4 linked regions of the Zea mays genome follow. The main gene of each other region encodes a partner of the protein of the gene in region 3 in a complex. Links are inferred from orthologs where the notes say so. Each region holds a gene or a part of one and is shown on either strand. Other genes may lie near its edges. The genes, in order: Protein TIC 20-v, chloroplastic; tic22; Protein TIC110, chloroplastic; Protein TIC 55, chloroplastic-like.

Region 1 (7,118 bases), on a different chromosome or scaffold from region 3:
TCGGTTCCAGAATTCAGGACCCTCTTTTATTACACTGCCCTGCTGCATGTTCAGGCGCGAGAGGAGGGGAGGGGAGAAGCAGCGGCAGCAGCGCCGATCAGGGGCCCAGCACACCGAGATCCAAGCATTCCGCTACCGAGCAGCGGAGACGGACAAAGATAAACGACAGGCAATGCTCGTTGAGTCCAATTTCAATTTTCATCAATTGCATCTAGCAGATCAGAAACTAAAAAAAAAGATTTACCCAGAACGTAGGGAAGCTGAGTGAGCCAGCTGTCTGCTCAACATGTTGGAATTACATCACGGCATGAACTTGTCATCAACACGCAAATCTTGAATTCTACTTCTGTTGCCGAACAGCAGCAGATAGATACATGAGATGCGATATATATGGGAGATGCATTTTAACGAGTATGTGTGTATATGCCTCTGGTTTAGGTTGGAAATACTTCGGGAACTCCTGCCGCACGGTGACCAGAAGAGGGACAAGGCATCTTTCCTTCTTGAGGTAAATAGATCGCCAACCTTTCTACAACAGCCAGCCGCCGGTAACCAGAGATCTCATAATGCTGCACTTAGAGCATCTCCAACAAGGTCTAAAATAAAGCTCTAAAAGTTAAAAATATAATCATATTTAAAATGTTTAGGACCTCAATAAAACATTTTACTCCAACAGTTAGGCTTTAAATAATGCTATTTAGAAAATAAATCACGTTATTAGAAAATAAATAGTTGTAGATTAAGAGGAAAGAAGGTTAGGGTTCTAACATATGGGGTACTATATTTAGGGTCCGAGAGACCGAACTCTATAATCGTTTGATGATTTTTTATAAAATAGGACTAAATGTTTTATGATTTTTTTTTTGCGAAAGAGCCTCTAGCTGAGTTGGTTAGGTGGTCTGAGTAGCACTCCTCAGGTCCTAGGTTCGACTCCCCGTGGGAGCGAATTTTAGGCTGTGGTTAAAAAAATCCACTCGTCTGTCCCACGACAAAGCACAGGTCTAAGGCTCAGCCCCGGTCGTGGTCGTTCTCACATGGGCTTCGATGCCGCAGGTCAAGTTTTTTTTGTTTTATGATTTTTTGAGCCCTATATTTTAAAATACAATTTCTTATTTAGGGCTCCTCTTGAGATGCTCTTATAACATTGAAATGCCCCCTTTGGTCCCAGTTTTGGGTGCAATATCCTCCATGTTGCTTGTTCAATGATACGCAAACACATAACACGAACCAGAACGAAAATATAATACTAAAAAATATTTCAATGTAACATGATCTCAGCAACTGGGGAGACCGGAATCCTGATCAGCACGTTACAGCAAGTATTTTAGCATGTGGAACATTTTGCTCGCAGGTTATTGAATACATAAGGTTCTTGCAAGAGAAGGTCCAAAAGTACGAGTCAGCCCAACCAGAAAAGAATCACGAGGACTCCTCCATGCCATGGGTACTAACATAGCCACGTTATCACGTTCATCGCAGTACTGCACAATAATCATGCACATATTTTACTATATAACACAAAAAAAAGGGCTGCATTTGGATTTTAACTCACTTGTCCACTATTTTTTCCCCTTGCTAGGCAAAAGTTTACTACAGATCATGCTGGAAAAACACAGAGGTAATTCCACACGCGCGTGCACACACACATACCAAAGAAAAAAGGAATGCCACATGGAAGCATGGAGCCCATGATATATCAATGATAACAAATTTCTTTGTTCTTTTTCATGGTCTCGCAGAATATCATCCAAGGAGGAGGATTAGCACCTTCCACGAAAGATGAGAACAAAGAACAGTATGATTCCAAGCAAACTACGGTGGCATCGTCTGCTCTCTTTGACACACAAAGTGCTAGAGAAACTAGTGCAAACGATATTTCCTCCCAAAAGGCAACAAGCAAAGCAAAATGCAGGGCAGGTAAGTTCCCAATTTCCTTCTTTCGTTGCATTACCACCTTTCAATTGCTAAGATCATGGCAAGAAATTGATTTACTAAGGCTAATAGCTTTAAAATGCAGACAACAGCGTACCTGGCAAACAGCCACCATGGTTGAGCATGTCAACCTCTGATGCAGACAACAAAACACTGAGCAAGAACGAGAAACAAACTCTCCAAGAGGATACTCAAAGTCTTTCTGATGCTTACTCTCAAGGGTTTGTTCCGAAACTACTGTTGTTTATGATGGTAATTTTGCTATATCTGCAACTAACAAGAGAAAACATTATTTACATCAGGCTTCTAAATAGATTGACACAAGCTCTAAAAAGGTCGGGAGTAGACCCATCTCAAGCTAGTATATCTGTAGAGATCAGTATGGACAGAAGAGCAACAGAACCTAATAATATACATGACAATTTGAAGGTAATAACAGCACATGAAAGTATATCAGCACGTTAATGCTTGCAAAGTTGCTAGACTTATGTCATGGCTTATTCACAGAATCAGCCATTTCTTTACCACTTCTTTTTAACCTTACCTGACAGGATCATGAATGTGAAGATATTATACATGTGACCAAGAAGCTTCGGGGCGAGAGAAGCAAGATCTCCAGCTCAAACTGAAATTCAAACTGTGGCGACAAGCCGACAACAGACCAGGACTTTGTCGACGAAATTGACAATTGATGGAATGCTCTTATTTATATTGAAATCACAATTACTGACCTAAGCCTCCATTCAGGTACAAAGGAAGCTGCTCAGGGGAGGGTAGTCATAAAGCTCCCCAATTCAGACATTCCTCCTCATTTGTAAATGCAATTCAGATTGTAAAACAGTGTACATGTACTGCTCTCTCAAAATTTGTCAATTCAACAAATATGGTAGTATTGCAACGTTTTTGTATCAACCTTCCACAGTACATGCATTCAATCGGCAACTAGACCTATATAAACAGCAAGGCAATTGTAAATTATACTAAGCTTGTGATTTGCTGCAAGCGCCAACGAACCATTGGGATGTTTTCTGCATATCATCAGATTCCCTTTCCATCAACATGGTCCGCAGGAAACGAATTGTAGTCACATCACCTGGCGCTCCGCTGCATCTGCGACAATGGGCAGACGTGGTGTCTTCCCGAGCAGGCAGGCGCCACCGCCGTACACCAAGGAGACGAGCAGGAAGAGGAAGACCGTGCTCTCCATGCTCTGGAAGATCTCGAACCCAACCCCACCGGAGGGCGCGAACGACTGCGCGAGCAGGTCGGGAAAGATGAGCAGCACGTCGAGCACGACGGCCTGCATCGCGTTGAAGCGGACGAAGCGGGAGAACGCCTGCTGGTTCCGCACAACGGCGAAGTAGAGCGTGAGGAAGAGGAGGAAGGGCGTGAGCGGCGATGAGTGGAAGAGCCGAGCCGCGGGGGCCAGCGGGCGGAGCAGCGCGCCGAAGAAGGGGAACTGCGTGAGAAGGAAGCGCCCGTGGTGCGCGCCGTCGAGGAACGGGTATAGGTAGGCGACCGCGGCCACGAGGCGGTCGGGCGCCTCCACGGCCCCGCTGTTGTCGTTTTTGTTGGAGGCGCGCGGCGCGGGGGCCAGGAGCCGACGAGGGGTCGCGTTGTTGGGGGCGGCGAGGAGGACCCGCCGGTGCGGGATGCTGAGGAGGCGGGATGTGCCGTCGCGGTGGAGCAGGCGCGGGGGCGAGAGGAGAAGCGAAACGGCGGATGCCATGTGATCCTCTGCTCGGTGCGGTCGAGGAGTGGAGATTTTTTGGGTGAGTGGCCTTGTGGGGGGCGGCCAAAGCGAGGCGTTTGGGTGAGGGGTTGAGGGCAAGGCAGTGGCGCCGCGCGGCTGCTGGCTGCTTGCCCCCTCCGCGCGGGTGGGAGCCTGGGAGCGGAGATTTTTGTGGAGCTCCGGGGGATGTGGGTAGCCGAGTGGGAGACGAGGAGATTGGTTGGTGGTGCCTGCTTCTGCCTGCCTGCCTGCTTGGTGCAGTGCCAGTGCGGGCCGTGCTGCTGCGGCGTCGCGGGGGAGGAAGGACGGGCGCGTGGGCGACGCGCGGTGAGCCTCACGTGGGCCGCCATGCCGGCCGGCATGCGCTCGCGCCTTGCAGCGTGGCCCGCTGTGGCCCGCCACGGAAAAAATTGGGATTCATCGTTTTGAGAGGATTCGTCTGAATATCATTATAAAACATGTCATCCACGTTATGATATCATTTGATCGTTTAATAAATCGGAAAAGAAATATATATATTATATATATAGCGACATTGAGGGTCAATTTTATAGGGAGACGAACATCAGCGACCAAAGTGAATGCACGAACAACAACAGAGGCAAATCATCCCTCAATGTCTATAATATATTTATTATTTTCATTTTTTAAACAATCAAATGATATTATAGCATATGCGGCATGTTTCATAATAGCAAAGTAGTGATGCCTCTCAAAACGATTTCCACTCCGGGAGAGCTGACCCGGGCGGAATAACCACTCCTACATTTTCCTCATAAAAAAGGACACTCAGTCTATTTGGTTCACGGCTAACTATGTCACAATTTATTTAATATTAATCGTTTGAATTGAAGAACTAAGCTTAGACATAAAAAATAGATAAAACGGTTAACTATGTCATAATTTGTTTAATGTTAATTATTTGAATCGAAGAACTAAGCTTAGACATAAAAAATAGATAAAATATGGTAAGTTGGACAGCAAATCAAACCGCCGTCAAACTTCCACCCTATTTCTTTGCATAACTGCGGCGTCAAAATACTCAGCAAGATACTCACCACCAGGTTACAACGACAGATTGACAGGATCATCGACACTGACCAAATCGGGTTCATTCGAGGCAGATCGATCACAGAGAGCTTCATCTACACTTTTGAACTTGTTCAGACCTGCCACAAAAGGAAAACACCACACCAGTCCTAGTGATCAAATTATACTTTGCCAAGGCTTCGACACCGTGAATTGGGAAGCTCTCTGAAGGACCATGGCAGAGAGAGGCTTCCCTGACCGATGGAGATCCTGGATCGCCGAGATCCTCTCCACCTCAAGCTCTGGAAATCTCCTCCACGGTTGCCTACTTGCCTCGACCCATGGTTCCCATGCAAGAAAGGCCTGAGGCAGAGCGACCCGATCTCACCACTCACCTTACCAGTTCCTGCCAGTGGAAGATGTCCTTCAGGTTCTCATCAAGAAAAACGGGGAAGTCCGCCACCCACTGTCAAATGACAAAACCGGGGGCCGGTAATCCAATATGCAAATATGATACACTCATTGCCACATATGCTTCCCTCTCTAGTGTCACCTAGCTCCGGATGATCCTTGACACTTTTGCCCAAGCAACAGGTCTTTGCATCAACTACGATGAGAGCACCCTTGTTCCCATTCATGTTGACCCACAACATCAAGCCGGTCAATTCACCTCGATCCTGCAGTGCGGTGCCAAGTTGGAAGGCTTCCCCCAAACTTACTTTGGCCTCCCTCTGTCAAGAGCAAACTAGGATAGCATGCAGAAACTCCTCCCGCGTGATCACCACTATGAGAGAGCATCGGGAATGGTAGGACAACTTGCTTCCGCCTTGATGATTAGATGGATAGTGGTCCGATCACAGACAGCTTCCCCTCCCTTGCAAGCCATGCAACGAATATGGAAACCACTGTCAGGCAAGTGCTGCTTGATGGGCTTGGATCAGCACCTCAAACCACGCCTGAGCACAACCTCAAAGACAGGAGCTTGCCACCCTCCAGAACACCCTCCACGACATCTCTCTCACACAACAAAATGATAAAAGACTAAGCCCACTGATTGACATAGAAGGGATCCTAAAAACCGGTATGCTCTACAAGCTGATCAATCAATGACTACCTCCAACTTTGATAATCCAGACTTCGTGTGAAGCTCTTTCTCTCCTAAAGTTTAAGTTCTTTGTGTGGATCCTCATATAAGGAAAGGTTAACCACAAAAAGAACCTTGTCAAGAAAGGGATGATTACCAGCGTCGTGTGTGACCTTGGCTCTGTCAGGCAGATGAAGATTACGACCACATTATCTTCAAGTGTCTGATTGCTTCCTCCTTCTGGCACAACATATATAGGAGTGCACAACATCGACAACCTAACGACGTCCAAGCCATGGGAAGTCATCCCCCTCCCCCCGATCACCAATCACACTAGAATACCTTCATACACCTTTATTGTTGGATGCTCTGGAAAAACCGGCATCCCCTTCCTGTCCTAGCAAGCATGTGCGTGAAGAAGGAGACACAGACATAGGGGATGACATCTGGAACCTATATTAGGGGCAATAATGACAATTTTTTTGAGCTAAGGGTATCCTTCTAGCCAAACATCTCCTCCGCTCCACGTGAAGGTTGCTCCAGCTTAAGTTGTCAAGTGGAGCAGAAATTTGTGGAAAAGCTAGAGCTCATAGCGAAATCTAGATGGTAGAGTTGTCACTACGGATGTCACCCCAGCGACGCGGGGACCTCGATATTCATCACTGCTGACGGTGTCCTTGTTAGCACACCGATCACAGGCGGATTGGAGAAGAGAAAGAGGTAGGCGAGAGAGATAGCTTGGGTTGGGAATGAGACAACAGAGAGCTCCGTTGTATTCAGTTTCTCCGTAATTTCATCCCCCTGCCCAAAGCAGCTATCGTACTTATACTACGACATATGTTCCACGGACCAGTGACTCAGGGACGCAGCCCCACATACCAGAGACTCATTCATCTTTCCTAACATTCCCCTCTTCTTAAAATTCGGCTTGCCCTCAAGCCGATGTGTAGCATTACTTCCACCAGGATCCCAGGAAAATTGCAAGCACTGACCAAAAGTAACAGGAACTTGTGCTGTGTTGTTTGCCGCTGCAGCCTCCTCATCCATGGCATGTGTAACTCGTGCTGTCTCTCTAGTATTCTGCCTTGAGCCCCTGTATGAGTATATCACAAAGCCAGTTGCTGTGCCAACAAAAGAAATGAAGTACATCACATCAACCTTCTCTTGGTAAGCGATTGTACGCATTAGAACAGCCCACATATCAGCAGTCCAGTGAGTCGATCTGAGCTCTTTTTGTTTGAATATGCTTATCTGTATACCATTTATAATTGCTCTAAAAACACCTAGCATTGCCATCACCTCAACTCTGGTGCTTTCGTGGACAAAGTACTCCTTGGTAAC
Region 2 (8,092 bases), on a different chromosome or scaffold from region 3:
CAGGGGGTATAAAGATCAAATCATCCCAGCCAGAATCTCTTTCATTTATCTGCAGAATCAAATAGCATAATGGTAAGAGCTGCTGAACTAGTAAAACTGTACAAGCAATATCCATTCTGCCATTTTATATCCATCCTACCTCCATTTTCTTCAGGACATCCTCCAAACTTCCAACCTGGAAGATAGACACAGAAGAGTTAAATTAGTTTCATTAGAGATTTGCATGAGCTATAACTGAACATAACTACATACCATAATTTTCTTAGATAAGGCTGACCCTCTTGAACCTTTGGAAGCCCTTGTAAGTTCTCTTTCTATGTCTTCCTGAACAACGAGGTAAGTGGTAAGAACCTAATCAAGGTCTAAGAAACACTACATGATATAAAATGCAGCCTGGCAAACCTTTTGAAAATATACTGGACAGTAGCGCTTCTTCTGCTTCTTCACAACCAGCAGATCTGACTGCACAGCACTTGGAACATTTTCATTGCAGCAATAAATGATTCAAAGTACCAATGAGGAACATGAACCCCCAAAATAACACAAGTCTAGTGTACAAACATTAGAATAGTATATAACTAAATGGAACTGCACAACAAACTCAAAAGTTAAGTGTGGAGTGGAGCATCTACCAGAAAAAGATAGACACCATTCTGCTGAAGCTGAAGCTGGAGTGTACAATGTATGAAACTCTAATCAGCTTGGCAATTACTTTATCTACACTAATGCAACAAGTGCAGTTTGATTCATTGTGGTTTGTATGAATTTTCACTTTATCTTGGTAGTTTTTTGCGGTGTGGTCACTTTTTTATGCCGGAAACCACATACAGTTTATATTAATGAAGAAAAAGGGTTATGATGTCGCCTTCCTTAAAAGCTCCAGACGATAGAAAATAAAATGAACTCCAAAAAAGGGGGAAACAGTGGATTTTGGTTGGGGACAGCACAGCATGACTATTTGACTACACAGCTTCACAAGATGAGACTTTAATAGTGAGAACAGAATGGACATTCCCCTTCTTCTTAATATAAAGATGCGCAGCTCTCCTGCGTTTTTCGAAAAAAAAAGAGAACAGAATGGACATACAATTAATTTTCACAATAAAAATAGGGATGGGCAAGTAAATCTAAACAGCTTCAATTTTTTCATACCTTTTCTTCTAGAGCCTATCCATAATATATTAGATTTGGAAATAGCTAAATGCATTAGTGATTCTTAGATCCAAGGCATCAATCAACAATTTGCCGGTTGTCCTAAATTTTACCAAAAGAGGAATTACTGGTATTTGCTTAATCAAGAAAACCTTATACTAATTGATAGGATGTGTCTCCATATACAAAGGTATGGAGGTAGCGCCTAAGGTTACACTTAATTTGTGGTACAGATGAAGGGTTTCCTTGTGGCCATCCTAGTGAATTAATACATGCGAGTATTTGACTGAGTTTAGCATGCATAACAAGAACTACTCATCGCATCAAATTGACACGCACATGACTCACAAGAAACTAAAATTGAATGTCAATATGGAAAGTAAAATATATTATTAGAGTGGCCAAATCAGGGACATTACCTGAAAAACAGGAACACCATCAAAAGCAGTTAAGCCCGATTTCATCTGGAAAATAAAAAGGGTAATACATGTCACAAGGATGAAGAAACCTTTTTTCTTCGTACTTGAAGAATAATCAAGGGGGTTGTAATGATCTACATATTCTATATGCAAGACTTAGCTTGTTCTACAGACAACAGTATGTGTTACCTAAACTTAACTAAAGACAAAAGTATGTGTTACTTAAACTTTAGATTTACAAATGTGCACTGTGGAGAATCATTGCAGGTCATTAGGCCAACAAGTCCATCCAGGAAAAAGAACAGAAAGATTCACCACCTACCACTATGGTAAGAACTAACACTTCACATGTTCTATGTCCACATGTCTAGGATTCACGCATTATGGTGAAGGACTGAAGGCATACAAAAAACCAGCAGACACGCTGATAGCGTAGTAGTTGAGAAACCAAAGGGGCGGAGCTCTCAACCAGGGTTCAATCCCTCGTGCTGCATGGTTGTGTGCCCACTTCCCTGGTTGAAACAATGTAGTTCCACGGCTGCCAAATAAGCGTGCGCACATGAGGTATTGAGGTTCCTGCCTGTTCCCAGGTTCGGTGGGCCTCTTTTTAAGACTGAAGTCAAGGGGACGTCTCTCCCCTTGATCAACTCTTTTTTTACATACAATAAGCCACAAATGTACAGACCTTGTGACCAAATTATTGGGATTGCTCAAAGTAACAAAAATCTCTTCAAACATATGTTTTCTTTGAAATGTTGGAACATGTTAAACCAATAGCTATGGGTATGCATTTTGCCAAGTCAAACAATTTATGTAGAGTTTCTGCATGCACTAGAGGAATATTGCTAATACACTAGTAATTAAATGATTGGCCACCGTCAAACCATTGCAAGCCAATGATATCCAAGAAGGTCAATATTATGGCATTTAACTACATGATATGGAGAAATGGACACACATGTTTCATCCCTGTATTTGTAATAAAATAACAAGTAATTATTAAAAAAATCATTGCATTGCTGCTTTCAAGAGCATTTGCAGTCTGACTGATGCATCTCAATTATGCTCACATCATAGAGAGAGGAGGGAGTAGAATATAAATAGGTCCATGTACAAGATAATAGAGCAAAGAGCGGGAAAAAAACTATTAAAGAGCAGACCTCCAGTGCATTCTTTATTTGAAGAGGGTCGGGTAAGAACCTAAATGCGATACCTTCAGCCTTTAACATATAGACCTACATAGAAGAGCAAAGTTATGAGGTATATATGTTTGCATTATAAAACATATAATAGAGTCAAGGTTATTAAAATGGTAAAACGTTGGAACGCTCATGGGTGAATTTTTGACTTTTAAACGTTTAAACTTTGTTTAAACGTAGTTTTAAACAACACAGGAAAAATACCAATACATCATAATTTCAGCAATAATATGAAGTTAAATACTAAAATAGAGAGGTTAGTGGCTTACCAAAACTTCACCCATGAGCTGGATTGAACCTCAAAAGTAACTAATAGAATGAGCCCAAAAATAGCTAATGGTCTAAAATGCATAAAGCACTGCGTTTTACAGTTTAGAACGCCAAAACGCTAAAACGTGGTTTCAATCTCTAATTAGAGTTTTGACGTTTAAACGTAGTTTTTATAACACTGAATAGAGTATCAGTCAGGTTCAAGATAAACACAATGTCTATGCATGCACTAAACAACCAAAGCTGCAGTGGCGTCAACCAAGCTTAATGCATCATGAAAGCATGAACAAGATAAGCTAATAAGCAGTGTTATTAAAACTACGTTTAAACGATGTTTGAACTACGTTTAAACGTCAAAACTCTAATTAGAGGTTGAAACCACGTTTTAGCGTTTTGACGTTCTAAACTGTAAAACGCAGTGTTTTATGCATTTTAGACCATTAGCTACTTTTGGGCCCAGTCTATTAGTTACTTTTGAGGTTCAATCCAGCTCATGGGTGAAGTTTTGGTAAGCCACTAATCTCTATATTTTGGTATTTAACTGCATATTATTGTCTGAAATTATGATGTATTGGTATTTTTCCTGTGTTGTTTAAAACTACGTTTAAACAAAGTTTAAACGTTTAAAAGACAAAATTTGACCCATGAGCGTTCCAACGTTTTACCGTTTTAATAACCTTGCTAATAAGTAATTGGCTACCTAAATCATGACAGCGTACACAATTCCTGGCCAATAAGCCTGATAGAACTAGTTTGAAAAGACTCTTTTCGCTGTGCAATTTAGTTAAAAGTCTTACCTCTCACCTTGCTAATAAGTTAAGATACCTAATTACTGGACTGGCTTTCGTACTTCAAAACGAAACATAAAAACCTTACAGAACCCACAATTCAAAGAAAAAAAATGTTCATCAAGTATTGACATGATCAATGACAAGACATACAGAATCAAACCAACCTGATCAAGTGTAAATACAGAATGAAACCAACCTGATCAAGTGTAAATACAGAATGAAACCAACCTGATCAAGTGTAATAGGCACCACTTTTGCCCCCTTGCCTAGCACCGGTTGCCGCGTCCTCACCTAAACCACACAAACCTCCCGAACAATTAGTGAAAAATCCAAAACCGGAGCCCAAAGCAAACAGGTGGCGAGAGAGCGGGGAATACATGCGACAGGAGGGCGTCGGCGTCCTCCGAACGGAAGCAGAGGAGGCCGAGGGAGCGGAGGCCGGTGGCAGGGTCGGAGACAAGCACGAACTCGTTGCTGGAGTTGCAGACAGTGAAGACGGGAGTGCCGGTAAGAGCGCGCGCGACCTCATCGGGCGCGAGAGAGAGAGATAGGGAGGCGCCCTGGGGGCCCGGCGTGCGCGCAGCCGCGGCAGCGAGGGCGGGGCGCGGGACGTTCAGGTGGGAAGCCAAACGGGAGAGGTGGTGCTGTAGGAAGGAGGCGGTGGCTACGAGCGGGTTTGGAAGCGGCGACGCAGCGAAGGGGAAGGGGGTCGGTTCGGACATGGGCGCAGCGGCGAGGGGAAGGGAGGAGCACGTGGAGATGGAGTCCGGTGGCGCCATCGCGTGGGTTGCGGCGGCGGTGGTGGCGTGGCGTGCGAGGCTCCTTATTGGTCGGCGGCGTCGACGAGAACGGCCTGGCGCGGGGGCGATTCGGTTGAGCCCAACCCCAAGTGCAGAGTTGCGGATTGCGGCCCGCTGAAGCTGATATTCAACTGACGTGTATTGGAGTGATTACGAGAGTATCTAAACAATTTGTTGACGCCTTTTCGGAGCGTCAAACACCTAATAAGAACCGTGGCGGTGCTCTCTAGTCAGGCGCGGACGGTCTGCGGCCTGGGACCGGACGGTTCGTGACCTGGCGCAGGGCTAGGGTCTTCTGCCTGACGGCCGGACGGTCCGCGCCCTGGGGGCGGACGATCCGCGCGTACGCAGGGGCGGCGGAAGTCGCCGGCAGCGACCTGGATCTCGCTCCCGGGAGGGACCCCGTCGGGGAGGAGAGATCCTAGGTGATGTCTAGGCTCGGCAGGCCGACCTAGACTCTTCTAATCAGCGTAGAGTCGAAGAGAAGCGGGAATTTAGAGATCGAGAGGCTAAACCTAAACTAGACTAGAACTACTCTTAGGATAAAATGCGAAATAGAAGTGTTTGATTCGATTGATGATGATTACAAATCGGCCGTATATCTCTCTTTTTATAGAGGGGGGCTGGACCCTTTACACGACTAGATTCCGAGCTAATTCCGCGGATCTAGCTAACAAACATAGCACAAAACTCGGAACCCTAATCTACTCTGCGCATGCGCGGACCGTCCGGCCCACAAGCGCGGACTGTGCGGACCGCGGACTGTCCGGCCTCAGGGCCGGACCGTCCGCGTGCTCATTTTGGTGCCAAACATATGCCCTCCTGCCTTTTGGTGGAGCTAGGCAAACCAAAAGCACCTTAGTCCGATGTGATCACATCGGTTTTCTTAAGCATCTTGCCACATACTAGGATGGTACTGCTTGAGGAAACGCCCATTCAAAGCTTTGGGTAAATCCTTGCCTTGCAATGTTTGTAGTAAATAGGTGTTACCAGATATTACCTGTTTTACTTTATAAGGACCTTCCCAGCTTGGCGACCATTTTCCAAACTTCCGGTCTTTATTCCTTAGAGGCAGGATGGTCTTCCACACCAGGTCCCCTACTTAAAATGACTTTGCTTTGACCTTCTTGTTGTAGGCCCTGGCTACCATGATCTTATCCTTTTCTATTGCTCCCAAAGCTATCACCCTCTTGTCGGTCACCTCATCAATATTATCCATCATTGAATTGTAATAATCAGTGATGGTTAGATCATTTTGTCTGGCGAACCTGACAGCATTCAAACTTATTTCCACAGGCAACACTGCTTCCTGCCCATAGACAAGCTCAAAAGGAGACACTTTAGTAGCACTATGTTTAGATATCATGTGAGCCCATAAAGCTTCGGACAAAATCTTATGTCAATGCTTAGGATTATCCAATATCTTCTTTTTTATCAAGTTAATCAATGTCCTATTACTAGACTCGGCCTGTCCATTGGCCTGAGCATAATATGGAGATGAATTAAGCAATTTAATTCTATATAATTCAGCAAACTCACGTACCTTCTTTGACATAAAAGAAGTCCCTTGATCTGTAGTCAAGGTCTGGGGAATGCCGAATCTATGAATAATATGTTCAGTTATGAACTCAATTACCTCCTTGTGCGTCATGTTCTTCAGAGCAACGGCTTCAGTCCATTTGGTGAAATAATCAGTGGCAACTAACACGAACCGATGCCCCTTTGATGATGAAGGATGAATTTCCCCAATAAAGTCTAATCCCCATCCTCTGAAAGGCCAAGGCTTGATGATAGGATGCAATTCGGCTGCAGGGACCAACTGTAGGTCGCCGAATTTTTGACACACTTGGCAACCCTTGTAGTACTTGAAACAATCAGCTATCATATTAGGCCAATAAAAACCAGACCTTCGCAACAGCCACTTCATCTTTGGAGCCGATTGATGGGTACCACAAATTTCTTCATGTACTTCGGCCATGGCTAATATAGCATCATTTGGGCCCAAGCACTTAAGCAGGACGTCGTTGACTGTTCGGCGGTAGAGTTCATCACTCATCAAAACATACTTGAAAGTTGTACGCCGAATGTTCTTATCTGTCCTAACGTTGGGATTTCGTAAATAATTAGTTATGGGCGTCCTCCAATCTCCTGCATCGGCTTCATTATCAGCCGAATCGATTAGGAGAACTTCCCTGGTAACCCCGGACGGTCCGGCGTCATCATGCGGACGGTCCGCGACCTGGGGATTTGGCTCTGCACTGGTTATCAGATTTTCAGTATTGTGAAATTTCCCTCTCTTTATCCGATAACCTGATGCATCTTGTGCCAAATTGTTAGCTCTATGATTCTCAACTCTAGAGATATGCCGAATACTGAATTCGTCAAAAGAATGGATTATGCTCCAACATTTTTCAAGGTAACTGATAGTCGCCTAGAGGGGGGGTGAATAGGGCAAAACTGAAATTTACAAAATTAATCACAACTAAAAGCCGGGTTAGCGTTAGAAATAATAACGAGTCCGAGAGAGAGGGCGCAAAACAAATCGCAAGCAAATGAAGAGTGTGACACGCGGATTTGTTTTACCGAGGTTCGGTTCTCGCAAACCTACTCCCCGTTGAGGAGGCCACAAAGGCCGGGTCTCTTTCAACCCTTCCCTCTCTCAAACGGTCCCTCGGACCGAGTGAGCTTCTCTTCTCAAATCAAAACCGGGAACAAAACTTCCCCGCAAGGGCCACCACACAATTGGTGCCTCTTGCCTTGATTACAATGGAGTTTTGATCACAAGAACAAGTGAGAAAGAAAAGAAGCAATCCAAGCGCAAGAGCTCAAAAGAACACGGCAAATCTCTCTCGCTAATCACTAAAGCCTCGTGTGGAATTGGAGAGGATTTGATCTCTTTGGTGTGTCTAGAATTGAATGCCTAGCTCTTGTAAGTGGTTGAGAAGTGGAAAACTTGGATGCAATGAATGGTGGGTGGTTGGGGGTATTTATAGCCCCAACCACCAAACTAGCCGTTTGGTGGGGCTGTCTGTCGCATGGTGCACCGGACAGTCCGGTGCACACCGGACATGTCCGGTGCGCCAGCCACGTCACCAAAACCGTTGGGTTCCGACCGTTGGAGTTCTGACTGCTGGGCCCGCCTGGATGTCCGGTGGCACACCGGACATGTACTGTAGAGTGTCCGGTGCGCCAGTATGGGCGTGCCTGACGTCTGCGAGTACTGGCACGCATTAATTGCTGTTGCAGGCGACCGTTGGCGCGAAGTAGCAGTTGCTTCGATGTCACACCGGACAGTCCGGTGCACACCGGACATGTCCGGTGAATTATAGTGGACTAGCCGTTGGAGATTCCTGAAGCTGGCGAGTTCCTGAGGCGCCGTTCCTTGGAGCACCGGACACTGTCCGGTGTACACCAGACAGTCCGGTGAATTATAGCGGAGCGCCTCTGGATTTTCCCGAAGG
Region 3 (8,197 bases):
AGTACTGATGTAGATTTCATCCCAAATGAAGAAAAAACAAATAAGCAGCAACAGAGTTGAGAAAAGAGTTACCTCATCAGAAAGTTTATATGCAAGTTGTGCTCTCCTTACTTCAATGAGTGTGCCTATGTCAAGACCTAAACCGAGAGCATTTTGTGATTTCAGAATGTTCTTGAGATGCAATAAGAGATATATCAAACAATAAATATAACAACAACAAAATTGATATTGCTGTCTTTACAGCACACTATATGATTTACTTGATAAAGCAAAACTTATGAATAATATGACACTATGACTTTATAATTGAACTAACACCTAAACAAAACTGTGTTCTAGCATTACCTCTTCCAATAGACTTGAGCTGCACCGAGTATAAATTCTTGGCATTTTCCCTCATAGCAATGTCAATCTAGAAACATAATGTCAAATGATACTTAATACCATGGTAAGTAAAGAAAGACATTCTTATTTGGACTGTGAGTAGTGGCATTAACACTTGATGAACATTTGTCCAAACTCTTCGAAATATCAACTGCATCAAAAGCAGCATAACAACTATGCAAAGAGCAACGTTGCCAGAAAAAACGAACTGAACTTCAAAATACAGAACAAATAACTCTGTGAGATCAAAGCATAAAACTGAGAGAAGGCATGCAAAAAATTAACAAGCATTTTTATAATTAATTACCTGAGAATCAGTCACCCCAAACAGACGTTTCCAAGGAAGTAGGAATACAGATGCATCTCCAAAGACAAGATTGGACACATAAATTAACTTCTGAAATGCCTGCAAAAAATTCGACATGGTTATAACATGGGCCAACAGGAAGTTCCAAACATCTCATTCATATATCAAAGCATAGACACTTGCCCGTCTTTGTTCCATGTCAGCATCACGATCACTCGTTTCCAACCTCTCTCTGTATATGCGTCTACCAATCTAGTACAACAATCAAAGAGGAAAATGTACCTTATTGGCATAAAACATAGAGAATGTGGGAAACAAAGACGAAAACAATAAGAGCATAGGAGATAGATCGGGAGGCAATACCTCCATGTGCATGTTAGCAGCATCTACATCATCAAGCCCAAGAGCACTTTTAAATTTTATAATTGCCTGAACCTCTGTACCTTTGAGATCTTCATCTCCTGGAGGAAGTACTGAGTAAAGATACCTGCATAAAAGCATGGTCAGGAAAAGGATGACCAAATAACTGCCCATCTGATCTAGATGCTAATACATGACTACATGAGTATTGTATACATGAGTTCAGTTGTACCCAGGCAAGATTGTTGACATCCATCCACGAAACTGAAAGGCTGTCATTAAAAGTTGGAGACACCACCCAAATGCACAAATACAAATTCCACAACCAACACCACCAAACAAGCTTGGTATTTGCTTGTGTTGTGCATATTAGCTCTGGCCACAGAAGGCAATTTATGAGGAATATGTTGGATTGATGGTTCGTTAGTAGGTAGCTCACTAGGCATGTGAATTGCCCTGTACAGAGAACAACAGTTTGTTCCCTAACCGGACCAGCTGACCCCACATTGTGTTACTATCCACTTATCCCTCCCCGCTCCTTCCCCTAACTGACCCAGGCAAACAAGAAAGCTAGCTGCCACAACATGGGCATGATGGCACATGGACATGCAGGTGGCCGTGACGAGCGCATGACTTGACAACCACCACTCACTGGTATGCTAGCCTCAGCTAGTGCACCAGTGTTATCAACCCATCCGATTAGTCATCCCAATCAGTATCCTGGACTTGACTAGGGGCTACGACTCATTTAGGTCAAGTAGTTTTCTTGTCATCCGATTAGTCATCTGACTAAGAGGTGGATGACCAGAAACATAATGGAATTGCCAAACAGCTTAGGACATAGGCTGCAACTGGGATAGCATAATTCACTAAGGCCCGTATTGTTTAACCCAATTTGCAGGCCTACATGCAGCCACCACCCTAGAGTTATCTTCCTGCTTGATTTATACTCCAGACATATAGTACATCAGTACATATTTGGTATATTAGTTTAGTCCTGATATATATAGGACGACTAGGACCAACTAGTCACCTGGTTGGTCCCATGGCGACTAAGATCAACTAGATGACTTGATAACATTGTAGTGCACTGACAATGACAAGCTGTTACTGACGCTTTTGTGGGCTGCCAATATCAAAAGCGTCGGCGCCAGGATCCAGCCCAAGAAGTAGCAGGCGCAAGACAGGAAAGTAATCAAGGGGCAGCAGGCGGAAAACAGGAAAGTGACCAACAACGTGGCTAGAAATCGAGTTAGTTGGAAAGTTTTATTCTAGGGAGATATGCATTAGTTTACTTCCAAAATAAGTTATTCAGTTCCTATTTTTGTGGCTGCCTCATACTATAAAGGCAGACCCTAGTTTGTATTAGGAGATCATCGAGGAATGAAGTCTCCCTGGAGTTCGGCAGGACTACCTCGGTCATCGTGGCTCGGCAAGCTGCCAGCCGTGGTGATGAAGTCCGCCAAACTAGCCACTGTTCCTACCCCTTGCGATCTGTCCCTGGTTACCATGCCGTTTCTTCAGTAAACACAAGAAGACACCGAACAACAAAGTGTATGTTCTGGTTTGAGGCAAAAACTCTGGGTTTTCTATTCAGAAAACTGAAATTTTGCTCACCAAATATACAAACCCAAAACACCAAATAAACTGAGTGGCCGGCTGACTGCGCCTAATAGCAATAATTTATTTGCTTGCCTGGGTCCCTTAATATAGATTAAAAAAACAGAGACCAATTGCTTCTTAATATATAGTCAATAGTATGATTACATCTAGAGGATTATGGTTATTCCTTTTTCCTGCAATTGTTTGCAGAAACCTTCGTGCCTCCAACTAGTGTAGTATGCAGGGGGCAACAGGTAGTGAGTAGTGAGTAGCACAACACTAGTTATGCCCATGGTTATCAAGTTGGTAGGACGAAGCGGGGCGATTGAGATTTACTACCACCTTACGCTTATAAGCGACTAAAGCGTGAGGTGAGGTGACACCTTAAGAATTTAAGAAAACTTAATGCACACAAGCACATGTGCCAGCTGGGGAAAAAACAAGAGCACCGAGAAGCACACCTGGCATACAAGTCACAGAGCTCTGCTTTGAAGGCGTCATCCTGTGTGCTAACTCCATATCTAAAATTAAAATTGCACATTATAAGAATATATGAAGAGGAGCAACAGCAACATCAATAATTAGCCTCCAAAAGAGATAACGGGAACTGATTATGCAATTTAGATTCCCAAGAAACCAAAAAAAAACTTACAAATATGGAAATTGTATATAACTTCTTTTAACATACATGTAACTAGCTAAACCAAAATTTACTTGCATTCCAACAATCAATGGGACTATGGGGGAACCAAATAAACAAGCGTGCAAGAATTATTGGAAATGGAGTGGGGAGACAAGTGCGTATCACAATAAAAGGCTGAGCTAATCACAGTACTATATTATGTCTGCAAGTACTAATATTTAGTTCATGAGCAAAATAAAAACCTCAACTAAGGGGCACTTCATTGGATCCAGGTAGCTCACTACCAAATATAAGAATAACGTCAATGCTGCAACAAGACTACCAGGAGGCAACACAGCAGTAGCTCGAACCATTTCACCAATAAACTCAATGCTGCAACAAGACACGAGAGCTACTCACTTCTTCGCGATTGCCTCCACCTCGCCGTTGTCCAGGTTGGTGGGGTCGTCGTGGCCCGCGACGTAATTGTGCAGCCCCACGGCGGCGACCTCTGGGACCACGGAGTTCACCGCAGCTGCTCCCGCCACGCTGGCCGCGCAGAGCACTGCCGCCCCCGCCACCGCCACGGCGCGCGACCCGCCACCCGCGCGGAGCCCGATGCCGTATCCCGCCGCCACGGCTGCCGCGGCGACGGCCAGTTCCGCCGCCGTCCGCGCTGCGGGCGGCAGCGCCTCCACCAGCGGCTGGATGCCCGTTAGCTCCCGCCGCGCGCCGAACACCTCCTCGCCAGGGGAAGTCTCGCCCGCGTCAGCGGCAGCCGCGCGGAGCCGGAGCCGGAGCCGCAGCGCCGCCGCTGCGGTCCTCCGCGGCGGGAAGCGGAGGAGCGGGAATGGTTTAAGCGGCGAGAAGATAAGTGGCGGGAAGGCCCCCGCCGCCCGAGGCGAGGGCTTCGCGGAGGCGAGCGCCAGCTCCATGCCCGGTAGAGATCCCTGCTGCCTCTGCGGACGGGGGTGGGGACACCTCCTCCTCGGCGGCGGCAGGGCCGGTGGGGTAGGGTGGGATGTGATGGATTGGGGAGGGTGGCGGACGAGGTGGAAGAGGAGGGGGGCGCGGCGAGGGCAGCGGATAGCGTTGGGATGGGGTGGGGGATTGGTGCGGCGGGGCGAGGGGCGGCTGGACCAACACAAGGGTTTGCCTTGCCGCTTGCGCGGGCGCGGCCGTGATCCCTCGCCTATTTCAGACGTTTTCTCCTCTCGTTCCGTGGTACATGGTCGACTGCTCGCTTTGCTGGCTCCTGGCCTGGCTGCGGTCGCGCGCCACGACTGGGAACATGGCCGTACTCACGGAACTCAATGCCTTAAAATTAAAATCTGTTGTTCTACTACTATATATATAATAATATACCGTGATTTCGGATCATAATAATAATAATAATGGTTGCTGTGCGTTTCTTTATCTTTAACAAATTTAACAAAAATAAATATCTCTTGTGTTCGTTTACCAGATCGCGGAGATCAGCATGTGATTGTCCATTTGTCCTTACTAAACCAAAACAAAGGCAGGTCGCTTCTCCTTCTGAACTTATCTCACGTCCTAGGTCATCCTTCGACAGTCGGCCAATAAAGCCCAATAAGTAATAATTCTCACCACGGACGCAGACGCATGCACCGCAGTCCACACTAAGGCTATCTCTAGCCAAGCATGAATAGACATGTTTTTGCACTATAGATTGTATTATTTATATAGTAGAGTTTAAAATAGTGAGTGAAATAGAAAATGAGATAGATAAGCTGCTAGATATAGCTTGAGCAACTCCAAAGTCTTTAAAAAATCTCCCCTAAAACTATGTATTAAGGGTTTTCCTAAAATTGTTTTCCCCTCAAAATGGTATCATCTCACAACAGTTCCCCAGTACATTAGAGTTGATTGAGTTGCCTCGGAACTCATCATGTGATCAGCTTATGTTATTCTGAATACCTGAACACAATATTATCTTCCAAACACAATCATATTTCGTGCTTGACGAATGAGGTTTAGTATTCCATTTGTGCTCAACAAAAACAAGCATCGCTTATTGTGTTAACTGCAAGTTACTGAATAGAAAGCATCAGTAATCTACAAGTGTTAATGATAATTTTTTAGTCAAGCCATCGGTTATTCTAGGAAGACACACATTGATTTTGGACTGACTACCTCTTTTTTTTAAAAAATCTAGACCTGATTATCATCGTATTCTCATGTTATTGTGTTCCCAGTTTCATGGTAAGAATCGTAGCAATGACTACAACACTCCATGAATATATGATAGATACAGTATAGTTAGGGACTAGAGTAACTAAGCATTAGATTCATACCAGCATGTTCAAAGGCTGCATAGGGGGGCGCTGCAAGGGTATTGCTCCACCAGTGAATCTGAATCTTCGCCGCCAGGGCTGCCATCGGAGGACATGGAGGTCCTTGTCAGCGGCAGCGCTCTGGAAACTTAGGGGGTGTTTGGTTTGAGGAATTACTCCATCCAAAATGTGGTGGTGCATTATGGATTCATTTCTCAAATTTGGTAGGATGATTTTATTCCTTATATTAGTACTAATTAAATAATTATAAGGAATAAGGTGATGGTGGATCAACTCAATCCATTCCACAAACCAAACAAAAAAGTGAGGAGTGAAAATATAATGAACTAGCTCATTACTCAAATCAAACAGCTTATTAGTAAATGCTGATCCATTAGTGTAGGTGCCGGTGAAGGCAGCGACGGCCCTGAGGGGAGGCGCGCGGGGCGGTCGCCCCGGGCCCCCCGCGATGATGGGCCCCACCCCTGAGACTATATAACTAGGATATGGAAACAAATCGGCAAGTAGCAGATCACGGAAAGGAGGAAGGAGCGGATCACGGAAAAAGATAGGAAGCAGAAACAGAAACGCCGCCAGGAAGCCCAGAAGCAGAGCAGATCGCGTTCCGGCGTTCGCTTCATTAACTTGCCTCTGCCTCCGTTCATCGCCTCAGGGCTATCGCCGGCAGCCGCGACCCACGTCCTCCTGGACTCCTCGTCTCCTCCCGCAGCCCCGCACCATCGCGGCCTCGCGGGCTCGCGGCGCAGACGCGCAGTGACGGCGCCCAAACCCCAAGAAACGGCGACTGCCGACCCAGCAGCAGAGAGAAGAGAGAAACGGCAATTCGGCAAAAGGGAAAAGGAACGCCGACCCAGCAGCCATATTTTATTATCAGCTCTTGCTCTTCGTTCGATGTAAGCCAGACACTTGTCGAAATTTCTGTACTAAGTACTCCATAATCAGTAATAATTCTTTAAGTTTATTATTGTAACTAATCAATAGCTTTAATTCATAATTTTATTTTTTTAATTTCAGCATATAGTCATGTCATCTAGAAAGTATCCATCCGGTTCTGAGAAAAGAAAGAGGAAGAAACGAGCAGATGAGTTCATAGAAACACAGAGAGGAGCTATGGACAAATTTTTTCCTAGTAATTCAAGAACTTCAAGGAATCAAAATGAGATGGCTGTAGTTGCTATAGAGGAGCAACCTGATAATAACCCAGAAGATCAGGGCTTTACACCAGAAGAAAATATTGACACCGATAGGAATGATAACAATGTGAGTGATCATGAGCCTATGGTTAATTCACCTCCTACAGAAAATGCTAGTGTTGATGAACAACCTGTTTTTACTGAAGATATCTATGATCCAAGAAATTGGGATAATCTTGATAACAAGTCGAGGGACATATTAGTAGAGAAGGGACCCATCAGAGATGAAAATATTGAATTTCCTTTGGATACCAATGGCAGACATTTTTCATATACTCATTACTCTAGAAAGATGAGCAATGGAGAAGTTTATTATAGAAAGTGGTTGGTATATTCTAAACACGTTGATAGAGTGTTTTGTTTTTCATGCAAGCTTTTCAATACAGAAAACTGCAAGAGTTCATTGGGTCATGAGGGGTTCAGAGATTGGAGGCATATTAATGAGAGGTTGAAAGAACATGAGGGTAGTATACAACATATTATAAGCATGAACTCTTGGAATGAACTGAGGGTGAGGCTTGGTAAGCATGAAACAATTGACAAAAACATTCAGCAACAAATCACAAAGGAGAAAGAGCGTATCAGGCAAGTTTTACAAAGAATAATTGTTGTTGTGAAATTTCTTGGTAAGCGGAATTTAGCTTTTAGAGGACCAAGTGAGCAACTTTACAATGATCAAAATGGTAATTTCTTAGCTTGTGTTGAGATGATTGCTGAATTTGATTTGATTATGCAAGATCACCTCAGACGTATTCAAAACAATGAGATTCATTATCACTATCTTAGTCATAAAATTCAGAATGAGTTGATTTCTCTTTTGGCTTCTAACATCACTAAATCTATCATAAACACTGTTAAAGAGGCCAAATATTTTTCAGTTATCCTTGATTGTACCCCTGATGTTAGTCATCAAGAACAAATGAGTTTGTTGATCCGATGTGTTAACATGTCTACTCGTAAAGTTGAGGAGTATTTTTTGGGTTTCATGAAGGTAGATGATACATCCGGTGAGGGACTTTTTAATTCATTACTTGATTCCATTAAGTCCTTTGGCCTAAATATTGAAGATGTTCGGGGTCAAGGTTATGATAATGGATCTAACATGAAAGGAAAACACAAGGGCGTGCAAAGACGACTGCTTGATATAAATCCAAGAGCTTTATTTATGCCATGTGCTTGTCATAGTCTTAATCTTACACTTTGTGACATGGCTAAATCTTGTGGCAAAGCTATTTCATTTTTTGGGATTGTGCAACGAGTATATACATTGTTCTCTAGTTCTACTAAAAGATGGGATGTTTTGAAGGATCATGTTGAAAGCTTAACTGTGAAGTCATGGTGCAATACTCGTTGGGAGAGTCGGATTAAAAGTGTCAAAGCAATAAGATTTCAAGCTCCTCAGATAAGGTCAGCT
Region 4 (7,991 bases), on a different chromosome or scaffold from region 3:
GATCCACCACGGCGGATGGATGGCCAAGATCTTCTGCTGGGTCATCATCGTCTTCCTCATGTTCTTCGTGCCCAACGGGGTCGTCAGCTTCTATGGTGAGCTAACTCCCTTTCCTTCTATTTGTCAGACCATTTGATTCATATTGCGATCACAAATAGAAACCTTTTTATTTGAACGCATAGTTGATAGATACTTGACATATCATGATGGCACTAATCTTTTTTGAGAAACAAACAACCCCTTTCATGAAGTTTTTTTTGAGTTCCGTGAGGCTCATAAGAAAATTAAGGAGATTTCTGATTCAGAATTTATGCAATTCTCGACTTGTAGACTTACTGGGCGTGTGCAATGGATAAACCCAATTGGTAGTCAGCTGTTTTTACTTGTAGACTTACTACATTTGTCGAGTTCCCTGAACATTTAGTAATTAGTTACTGCTTTGCTGTTGTTGGTCATTCATGTACTTTGTTATGTATCCCGTCATTTGTGTGTCAGCTGTGTTTGGAATTCTTACTACAATTCTACTTCTGCAGAATCTATATCCAAGTTTGGCTCTGGGCTGTTCCTTCTCGTTCAGGTTGTTCTGCTGTTGGATTTTGTGCACGGATGGAATGAGAACTGGGTCGCCAAGGATGAGCAGTTCTGGTTGGTTGCTTGCTGATGCTATTTCCTATACTTGCTTGGGCTCCCATTGGTGTTTTTTTTTGTATTATTTATGCTCTTTTGTCGCTGCAGGTACATGGCTCTGTTGGTTGTCTCGGTTGTCTGTTACATTGCCACGTTCTGTTTCTCGGGTCTCCTATTTCACTGGTTCACTCCATCTGGACATGACTGCGGACTCAACCTGTTTTTCATTGTCTTCACGTTGATTCTTGTTTTTGCGTTTGCTATTGTTGCCCTGCACCCAAAGGTACCATCATGTAGCCTGTTTTTCTCCGTTTTACTGATTTTGCATTTGTTTATATTACTTGATTTGACCAGAAACCGTTGCTTGATAAGTTATACTGGATGGGTTTGGGGTTTGGGGCAGTATTATACTTGCAACTCTAGATTATTGGGTTGGTTTGATTGTTTTAGATTCCATCTTGGCCATCGTATGACCATGCTTTCCAAAAACTATGTCTATACATTTCCCTTGAATGTAACTATCTTTTTTGTGCTAAATAATGCTGAACTTTGAAGTTTCTGATTTTCAGATCAATGGAAGCTTGTTGCCTGCATCAGTTATTGGTATGTACTGTACATATCTGTGCTACAGTGGACTCTCCAGTGAGCCAAGGGATTACGAATGCAATGGGCTTCACAATCACTCAAAAGCTGTGTCAACTGGTAGCCTTACATTGGGACTCCTTACCACGGTCCTCTCTGTGGTCTATTCTGCTGTCCGCGCTGGCTCCTCTGCAACTGTGCTCTCGCCACCAGACTCACCACGTGGTTAGATTGCGTTCTGTGGCTAATGAGCTAGTTTTGCAAATATTGGGTTTGCATCGTTAATTATGATACCTTTTTCCCTTTTACCTTCCAGGGACCGACAAGCCATTGCTTCCCTTCAGCAAGGCAGACGAACAAGAAGATAAGAAGGATGTGCCGAGGCCGGTGACATACTCCTACTCTTTCTTTCACCTCATCTTCTCCCTGGCCAGCATGTACTCGGCAATGCTCTTGACTGGCTGGTCAACTTCGGTTGGTGAGAGCGGAAAGCTTGTGGATGTTGGGTGGCCATCTGTCTGGGTCAGGATTGCAACCCAGTGGGCGACGGCAGGTCTGTTCATATGGTCGCTTGTTGCACCCGTCCTCTTTCCCGACAGGGAATTCTAAGTTCAACCACGGTAAGCCTGGAGCATCAAACGTGTCTACTGTGGTAGCTAATATATCCTATCAAGTATGTTGCCTTTAAAACATGCTCCGAGTCGGTGTTTGCCCACTGTTATCAAGTTTGTCTACTTAATAACATGTGACTTTAGGCATTGTGCCACTATCTTAACAGTGAACGTGTGCTGCTTGTATTGTGTATATACTGGAGAATTTTAAGAATGCTTCGTGCGAGCGTGTTGTGTATCGATTGCTTGGTGGCTGTGTCTGCGGACTTAAATCTTTTGCTATGTTGATTATCTTCTAATTCTGAGTTTGTGCTGCAGTAGTAAAAAAACTAACCGGTAAGGTAACCAACCTAATCAGTTGCTGCTGACATGCAAAACGTTACTGCAAATATACAAAATACAACAGCCGCAGGCCAGCAGCTACGGTGATACAAATGTACAGAACGTTCCCCGCCGGCCATTACCTAAATATACAGTGGCCAGTACCACATTAATTACAGTCTCCTGTGTGTCCTGATGAAGTTGGTGGTGATCAAAGAAAGCACCGCGTCACACGCATAGGATGCGGCGGCTAGCACGGCCGACGCCGCCACCAAGACGGCCTTCCACTGTCTCGTCGCCGCCAGGATGGCGGCCGATAGGGCCGCCGCCGCGAGGGCCGCGAACACGGTCTTCAACGAGGTGTACTTTTTGACGGTTGCCCTGCAACCCTTGCAGTGCACGACGTGGCGGAAGTACCTGTTGGTCGGGTTGGGCGCGTGCACCATGCCGACGCCGCCCTTGGCCGGGAACGAGGCCGAGATCCCCGCGACGGCCCCTGCGGGCGCCTGCTCCACGACGGCCGGCACGGGCGGCGGCGACAGGGTGCTGTGGCCGAAGTAGTAGGGCATGCCGTGGCCCGCCCTGTCCATCCACTTCCTGTACTCGGCGACCCAGGTGTCGGAGGAGCGGAGGTTGAGGTAGAGCTCCCTGGTGGGCAGCTTCTCCCGGAGCAGCACCTCGTTCTGCGACGACAGGAACCCCATGTCCTGCTCGAACACCTTGCACGCGTTCTGGTGGAAGTACCAGGACGGGAGCACCTTGGCGAGCGGCGACCTGAGGGTGGAGCCGAAGCGCACGAGGAGCATGGACTTGCCCTGCCCGGCGGGGCGGCAGAGGAAGTGCGCGGAGAAGCACTGCTCCCTGCCGTCCTTGTCGGCGAACTCTAGCGTGTTGGTGAGCACGCAGGGGGCCTCGAAGCGCAGAAGGTTGCGGAGGTGCGGCGTGCCGGTGCGGCCCCAGTAGCCCGCGAAGCCGCGGGGCGTGCGCTCGGTGACGTCGAAGAAGAGCGGCTGCGCGTCCTCGCGCTTGGCCGTCCAGTCGGTGCGGTCGTGGGAGATGGGCACGTGCGCGGGGTCCATGAGGTTCTCCAGCAGGATGGAGTGGTCGTAGGGGAGCTCGTGCACCGTCGACAGGTCCGTGAACCCCGCCCGCGCGTACGGCTCGAACCACGGCAGCTTCCCTTCGTCGGGAGGGTTGGCGTCCGACATCCACACCCACACCACGCCCTGCGAGTCGCGCACCTCGTAGTTGCGCGCGCACGCGCTGCGCGGGATCTTGGCGCCCTCGGGCAGCTGCAGTGCAGGCACGGACCCATCACATCACCCATCCATGCTCTCGCCGCGTAGGGTAGGGGCGTCAGTAAGAAAGGTGGGAGAGAGAGAGACCTGTGGTATCTTGACGCACTTGCCGTCGCCGTCGAACTGCCAGCCATGGTAGAGGCACTCCAGCTTGCCGTCCACGATCTGCCCTTCCGATAGCTTCGCTAACCTGATCGATCGGTAAGCATTTTGGGAGCAATTAATCGTGTTTCAGCTGCTGGTTCTCGACCAAACCAATCGTTGCACGCACACAAGAGTGGACCGGCCGGAGGATCTCACCTGTGAGGGCACCGGTCCTCGTGGCAGCGGAGCACGCCGTGGGCGTCGCGCCAGAGCACGAGCTGGCGGTCGAAGACGGTGAGCGGGAGCGCCGCGTCGTCGGGCACCTCCTTGGCCAGGTACAGCGGGTACCACTCCTCCCTCCAGTCGTAGCGCCCCGCCGCCGCGTCCGGGGCCTCCTCCCCCTCCCCCTCCCCCTCCCCCTCCTTGGGCAGCAGCACCCCGGCTTCCTCCACCACCGCCGCCCGGCACCTCCTTCTGCCCCCACCTCCCTCCCACCGTGCCGCCGCCGCAGCCGCGGGGCTCTTAGGACGTCGTCGAGCCACTGGAACAGCGGCAGCGGAGACGCGGAGGAGAGATGCCAGTGGCGCTGGTGCGGTAGAGGGCGTTGTCATGTTCGGTCCCACGACGTTTGGTTGGCCGAGAGCGCTCGATCTCTGCGGCCTCACCGGATAAAAACCTTACGAGTCACCTACGACTACGAGCGCAAGTGTGCAACGCACACGGCAGATGGCGGCTCCAGCTTTCTGCCACCTAGTCTACTACTATAGCGTCCCGGTTCCAGACTCCCACACTTGCCGTGATCTCTCGTGTGTCACTCTCGTCCAAGTGTGACCGATTGACGGACTAGTATATCGCGAGATTTTTTTGCGTGTGCATGAACTAGCTTACACTGGTCAGCTATAATAATATCTCGTTTGGATCTATCCAAATTGTTATTTATTTGCGTAAAATTAGCTTGTCAATTTAAACGTACAAGACTCTCGAGAGCAAGACTCTGTAAATGCTCCTGTACGCTAAATTTAACGTGCGCAATCTGCTTTTCGTTCTCAAGGTCCGCTAAAGGACCCGCTAAAGTAGCGGACCACTAACGCGCACAACAGATGTAGAGTGTTCCGTTGTGTCGGCTATGTGCACCGTCTTGTGTAGAGAGACTACAGGTCGGCTGTGCACGCCGCGACAAAGTAGCACATCAGCCAGCACCTCCCAACTTGCATCCACGGTAGAAGAGGACGACGAGGCGCACGGCGACCGGATGTGCAACAAACACGACCTTGGATGACGTAGGCGCATAGGACCTGTAACTCGATCTTTCTCTCTTCGCACTCCTCCCTTGTTTGTTGCTATGCTTCTCCCCCACCTCGGCGCAGCACAAGTCCATCCTCTGTGTTGCCGGAGATGAGATAGGTGATCCTGGACACGGCGCTCCGTGTGGAGTGCTTCTCAACCCGCATCTAGGGGCATGGGAGATACTGGGTGGATGGATGGAGTACAACGGTGGAGGTGGGGTGTCGGAGAAGAAAGACAATGTTGCAGAGAATGAAATTTAGAGGATGTTGTTGGAGATGATAAAGATATAGAGGATGAAATTTTCTAGAGTGTGTTCTAAAGGATAGAGAATATTCTTTTAGATGGCAAAAATTAGAGCACGTTGTTGGAGGTCATACATAGAGGTGAACTAGGGACCACTAGCCTAGAACTCATGAGAACCGAATAGTAAGGGAGAGCTAGAAGATCATGACGCTTAGTTGATATCTGAGCTTGTATTCTTCTTCACCTATGTGTTCGTCAAACCATCGTACTTAAAGAGGACATATGGTATCATCTTGTGGCCTAGCCCTTTATAAAATGACTATGTGCTACACCTAGGATCAATGCGCCTATAGATTATGCTCCTTGCTCTGTCCATAAACTTTCTTCGTGTCTTTTGGTTGCTTATGGTACTGTAATGTTGTACCATGACGACACTTAGTGCACCAGGTATTGGGTGCTTGCCATCATTGAACTATGTAGTAGTTCTCTAACAGATAATAAGTCTTCTTTTCTCAAGTGTATTACGAGAAATTTGGGCCCACCAGCAAGCCTCATAGGTCTATGGTTGACTTGGGGACCTCTATTAGCGCATGGGGAAGGTCACACTCTAGATGAAGATGCCTTCTAAGGATCTCGATAAAAGTAATCGAGAGCCTGACTAACTCCAGACATGTGCCCCTAGAGACCCACCCTAATGGACCTCATCTTGAGCCCCTGAACCCGTGAGGTTGTCCTAGCCACTCCCGTCCATCATAATTGGCATGACCAGGGCCCCTAAGGCCTCAGGATCTTTCTATACTTTGAGGCATTCCCAAGCTTCTAGAGTTCTCTCGCTCACCTAGGCCCCATAGAGGCCTCCCTAAATATTTCATGACCTCGACCTTAGAGTTATGACTAATAGCCAGGTCCTAGGGTCCTTCATATGAAAAATAATGCTCCGACTCAGTTGTATGGGAGCACCTACAGAACAAAGAATATGGCAGCCTATCCTTAGAGTAGGGAAGTCCTCAAAGGTATAACACTCGTACTATGTTAAAGTCTACTCCAAACGACTTGTGTTACTAATGGTTTGGAAAGGTATCTCGTTCACCACATTAAATGTGTTGGTTGATATTGTAGTAAAGTATGCGCACTATTCCCACGAGATAGACACTAGACATACTCAAGACCACTATTCGGTACATGACGTAGACATCGGGCATACTTAAGACCACTATTTGATATATGCCATCATTCTTGTAGACATGTCTCCATATGTTAGTGTACCAGCAAGCATTAAAAAATATAGACTGCTACATCTGTTACCAACTACATCATACCCAACAACATGGACTCTGATACCCATCGCTATGACAAGTCATAACTACCTCTATGATACGACTTATCTATAACCGCAATATGACATCCTCAGCATCGTGGCACGATCAAGGCATGCAACCATTTAGTACTCCATGACTACGATGAGATAATTGTTGTTGACCTGTATTGAACTAGGTCATAACCCAGTAGGCATATAAATGGAGGAGTATAGAAACATGGAAGGGAGATGGAATGATCCGGTTGATTCATTCGGGTTCAATTCAGTTAGAACAGCTATGACTCATTCAAAGGTGCTAGAGGGCACGCATAGAGACATAGAGGTAAACTAGAGACCATTAGCCTAGAATTCTCACCAAAACCAATGAGAAGAGTTAAGAGGTTATGAGACTTATTTGATATCTAATTTTGTAATCTTATTCACCTCTATGTTCATTGAGCTACTAAAGTTAAAGAGAGCGTTCACATTACGTATCTTGCGACCTGAACCTTTATACAATGTCAATGTGCTACTAATCAGGATGCACCTAAAATCGGTGTGGCTCTACCCTACGCCCCTCGCTCTGCCCATAATTTTTATCTGTGGTGTCGTACGACGTCTACAACTCACTAGGTACATAGTTGTTGTTATATACCTAGATATACGATATACTGAGCTACAAAATAGAAATATATGTATCGTAAAAAGCCAAACGACCAATAAAATAAGCAAAGAAAAGCCAAAGGGACCTATAAATTTGGACAAAGCGAGTAGTGCACTAGTGTTCCCTCTCTATATCGAATCAACTAATGTATTGCGAAAAATACTTTTATTATTCCACTTATCTTTATATATCCATGTGTCCTACCATTAGCGAGTTAAACAGAGAGTATTAGTCAAGAACATCAATGGCACATCTAGATATTGTATCCTAAAACACTAAGGGGCTGGTTTGGTGACCAGAGAAACAAAAAGAATCTATAGGGGCTCATGGATCCCCTTAATTTCACTGATCACTAAATCAGTTCTAAATTAATTAACAATTACCTATCAATTATTAGTTAGCTAGTTTTTTAGCATATGTATTTTATTTTAGTATGATTTTCTTTCTTTACGCATGTATCTCTCTCTCTCTTCTTCTTGTTTTCTCATTTTCCGTACACTATATACTTTTATTGTTTGTTAATTCTCATGTCCGAACGACCAAACCTAAGTAAGGACCTGTTTGGAACCACCTTTTAAGAAATTGGTTTATGGAAACCGAGATAGTTTTAAACATATCAGTTTATGTCCCAGTTTATAAAAATTGGATTCATGGTTTTTGAAAACAAAAAAACTAGTCTTTTCTAGCTAAAAAAATGATTTCGTAAAAAATGAGTTGATTTTAAACAGGACCTAGATAATGAAAAAAAACAAAAACTTAAACTTTGCGGTTTGAATGACATGACAAATATCGGGCCTGTTTGGTTCAGCTTTTTTCTGACCAGCTTTTCTGAAAATCTGGTTGTGGGGAGAATCTGGCTGTGAGGAAAATCTGAGTATCATTACGATTACGTGTGGAGGAAGATAAAATTGTTTATAGGACTCAGGATCTAGAAAGTGACGGATTCCTACTATTACAACGACTCAACCGATTATGTG

What was found.
Region 1: Protein TIC110, chloroplastic (region 3) and Protein TIC 20-v, chloroplastic share a complex: the UniProt entries of both Arabidopsis thaliana proteins name them as parts of the tic complex. The link is inferred for Zea mays from reciprocal best matches to the Arabidopsis thaliana genes TIC110 and Tic20-V.
Region 2: Protein TIC110, chloroplastic (region 3) and tic22 share a complex: the UniProt entries of both Arabidopsis thaliana proteins name them as parts of the tic complex. The link is inferred for Zea mays from reciprocal best matches to the Arabidopsis thaliana genes TIC110 and Tic22-IV.
Region 4: Protein TIC110, chloroplastic (region 3) and Protein TIC 55, chloroplastic-like share a complex: the UniProt entries of both Arabidopsis thaliana proteins name them as parts of the tic complex. The link is inferred for Zea mays from reciprocal best matches to the Arabidopsis thaliana genes TIC110 and TIC55-II.

The regions. Positions count from the first base shown.
Region 1 is NC_050100.1:212,571,867-212,578,984, reverse strand, and holds Protein TIC 20-v, chloroplastic, read right to left. Parts: upstream 3,792-7,118; 5' UTR 3,662-3,791; coding exon 3,017-3,661; 3' UTR 2,625-3,016; downstream 1-2,624. Other genes in the region: uncharacterized protein LOC100279738, read left to right, coding at 55-169, 439-508, 1,352-1,444, 1,580-1,618, 1,740-1,917, 2,018-2,153, 2,235-2,361, 2,484-2,561; solute carrier family 35 member F2, read right to left, coding at 4,828-4,833, 5,094-5,159, 5,935-6,017, 6,120-6,174, 6,657-7,118. UniProt on the Arabidopsis thaliana protein: May be involved in protein precursor import into chloroplasts. Not redundant with TIC20-I, TIC20-II or TIC20-IV.
Region 2 is NC_050104.1:9,247,063-9,255,154, reverse strand, and holds the start of tic22, read right to left. Parts: upstream 4,765-8,092; 5' UTR 4,611-4,764; coding exon 4,209-4,610; intron 4,123-4,208; coding exon 4,060-4,122; intron 2,807-4,059; coding exon 2,732-2,806; intron 1,617-2,731; coding exon 1,572-1,616; intron 463-1,571; coding exon 403-462; intron 325-402; coding exon 253-324; intron 176-252; coding exon 140-175; intron 50-139; coding exon 1-49. UniProt on the Arabidopsis thaliana protein: Involved in protein precursor import into chloroplasts. Imported into the intermembrane space via the Toc translocon. May be involved in the import pathway used by proteins without a cleavable N-terminal pre-sequence.
Region 3 is NC_050096.1:234,057,421-234,065,617, reverse strand, and holds the start of Protein TIC110, chloroplastic, read right to left. Parts: upstream 4,320-8,197; 5' UTR 4,211-4,319; coding exon 3,696-4,210; intron 3,175-3,695; coding exon 3,115-3,174; intron 1,179-3,114; coding exon 1,055-1,178; intron 944-1,054; coding exon 875-943; intron 791-874; coding exon 692-790; intron 413-691; coding exon 346-412; intron 138-345; coding exon 73-137; intron 1-72. UniProt on the Arabidopsis thaliana protein: Involved in protein precursor import into chloroplasts. Forms a voltage-dependent cation-selective channel at the inner envelope of chloroplasts, which specifically responds to a transit peptide.
Region 4 is NC_050100.1:221,688,799-221,696,789, reverse strand, and holds Protein TIC 55, chloroplastic-like, read right to left. Parts: upstream 4,136-7,991; 5' UTR 4,135-4,135; coding exon 3,740-4,134; intron 3,630-3,739; coding exon 3,527-3,629; intron 3,434-3,526; coding exon 2,315-3,433; 3' UTR 2,192-2,314; downstream 1-2,191. Other genes in the region: uncharacterized protein LOC100191588 precursor, read left to right, coding at 1-95, 534-645, 736-910, 1,197-1,434, 1,526-1,818. UniProt on the Arabidopsis thaliana protein: Involved in protein precursor import into chloroplasts. Part of the redox regulon consisting of TIC32, TIC 55 and TIC62.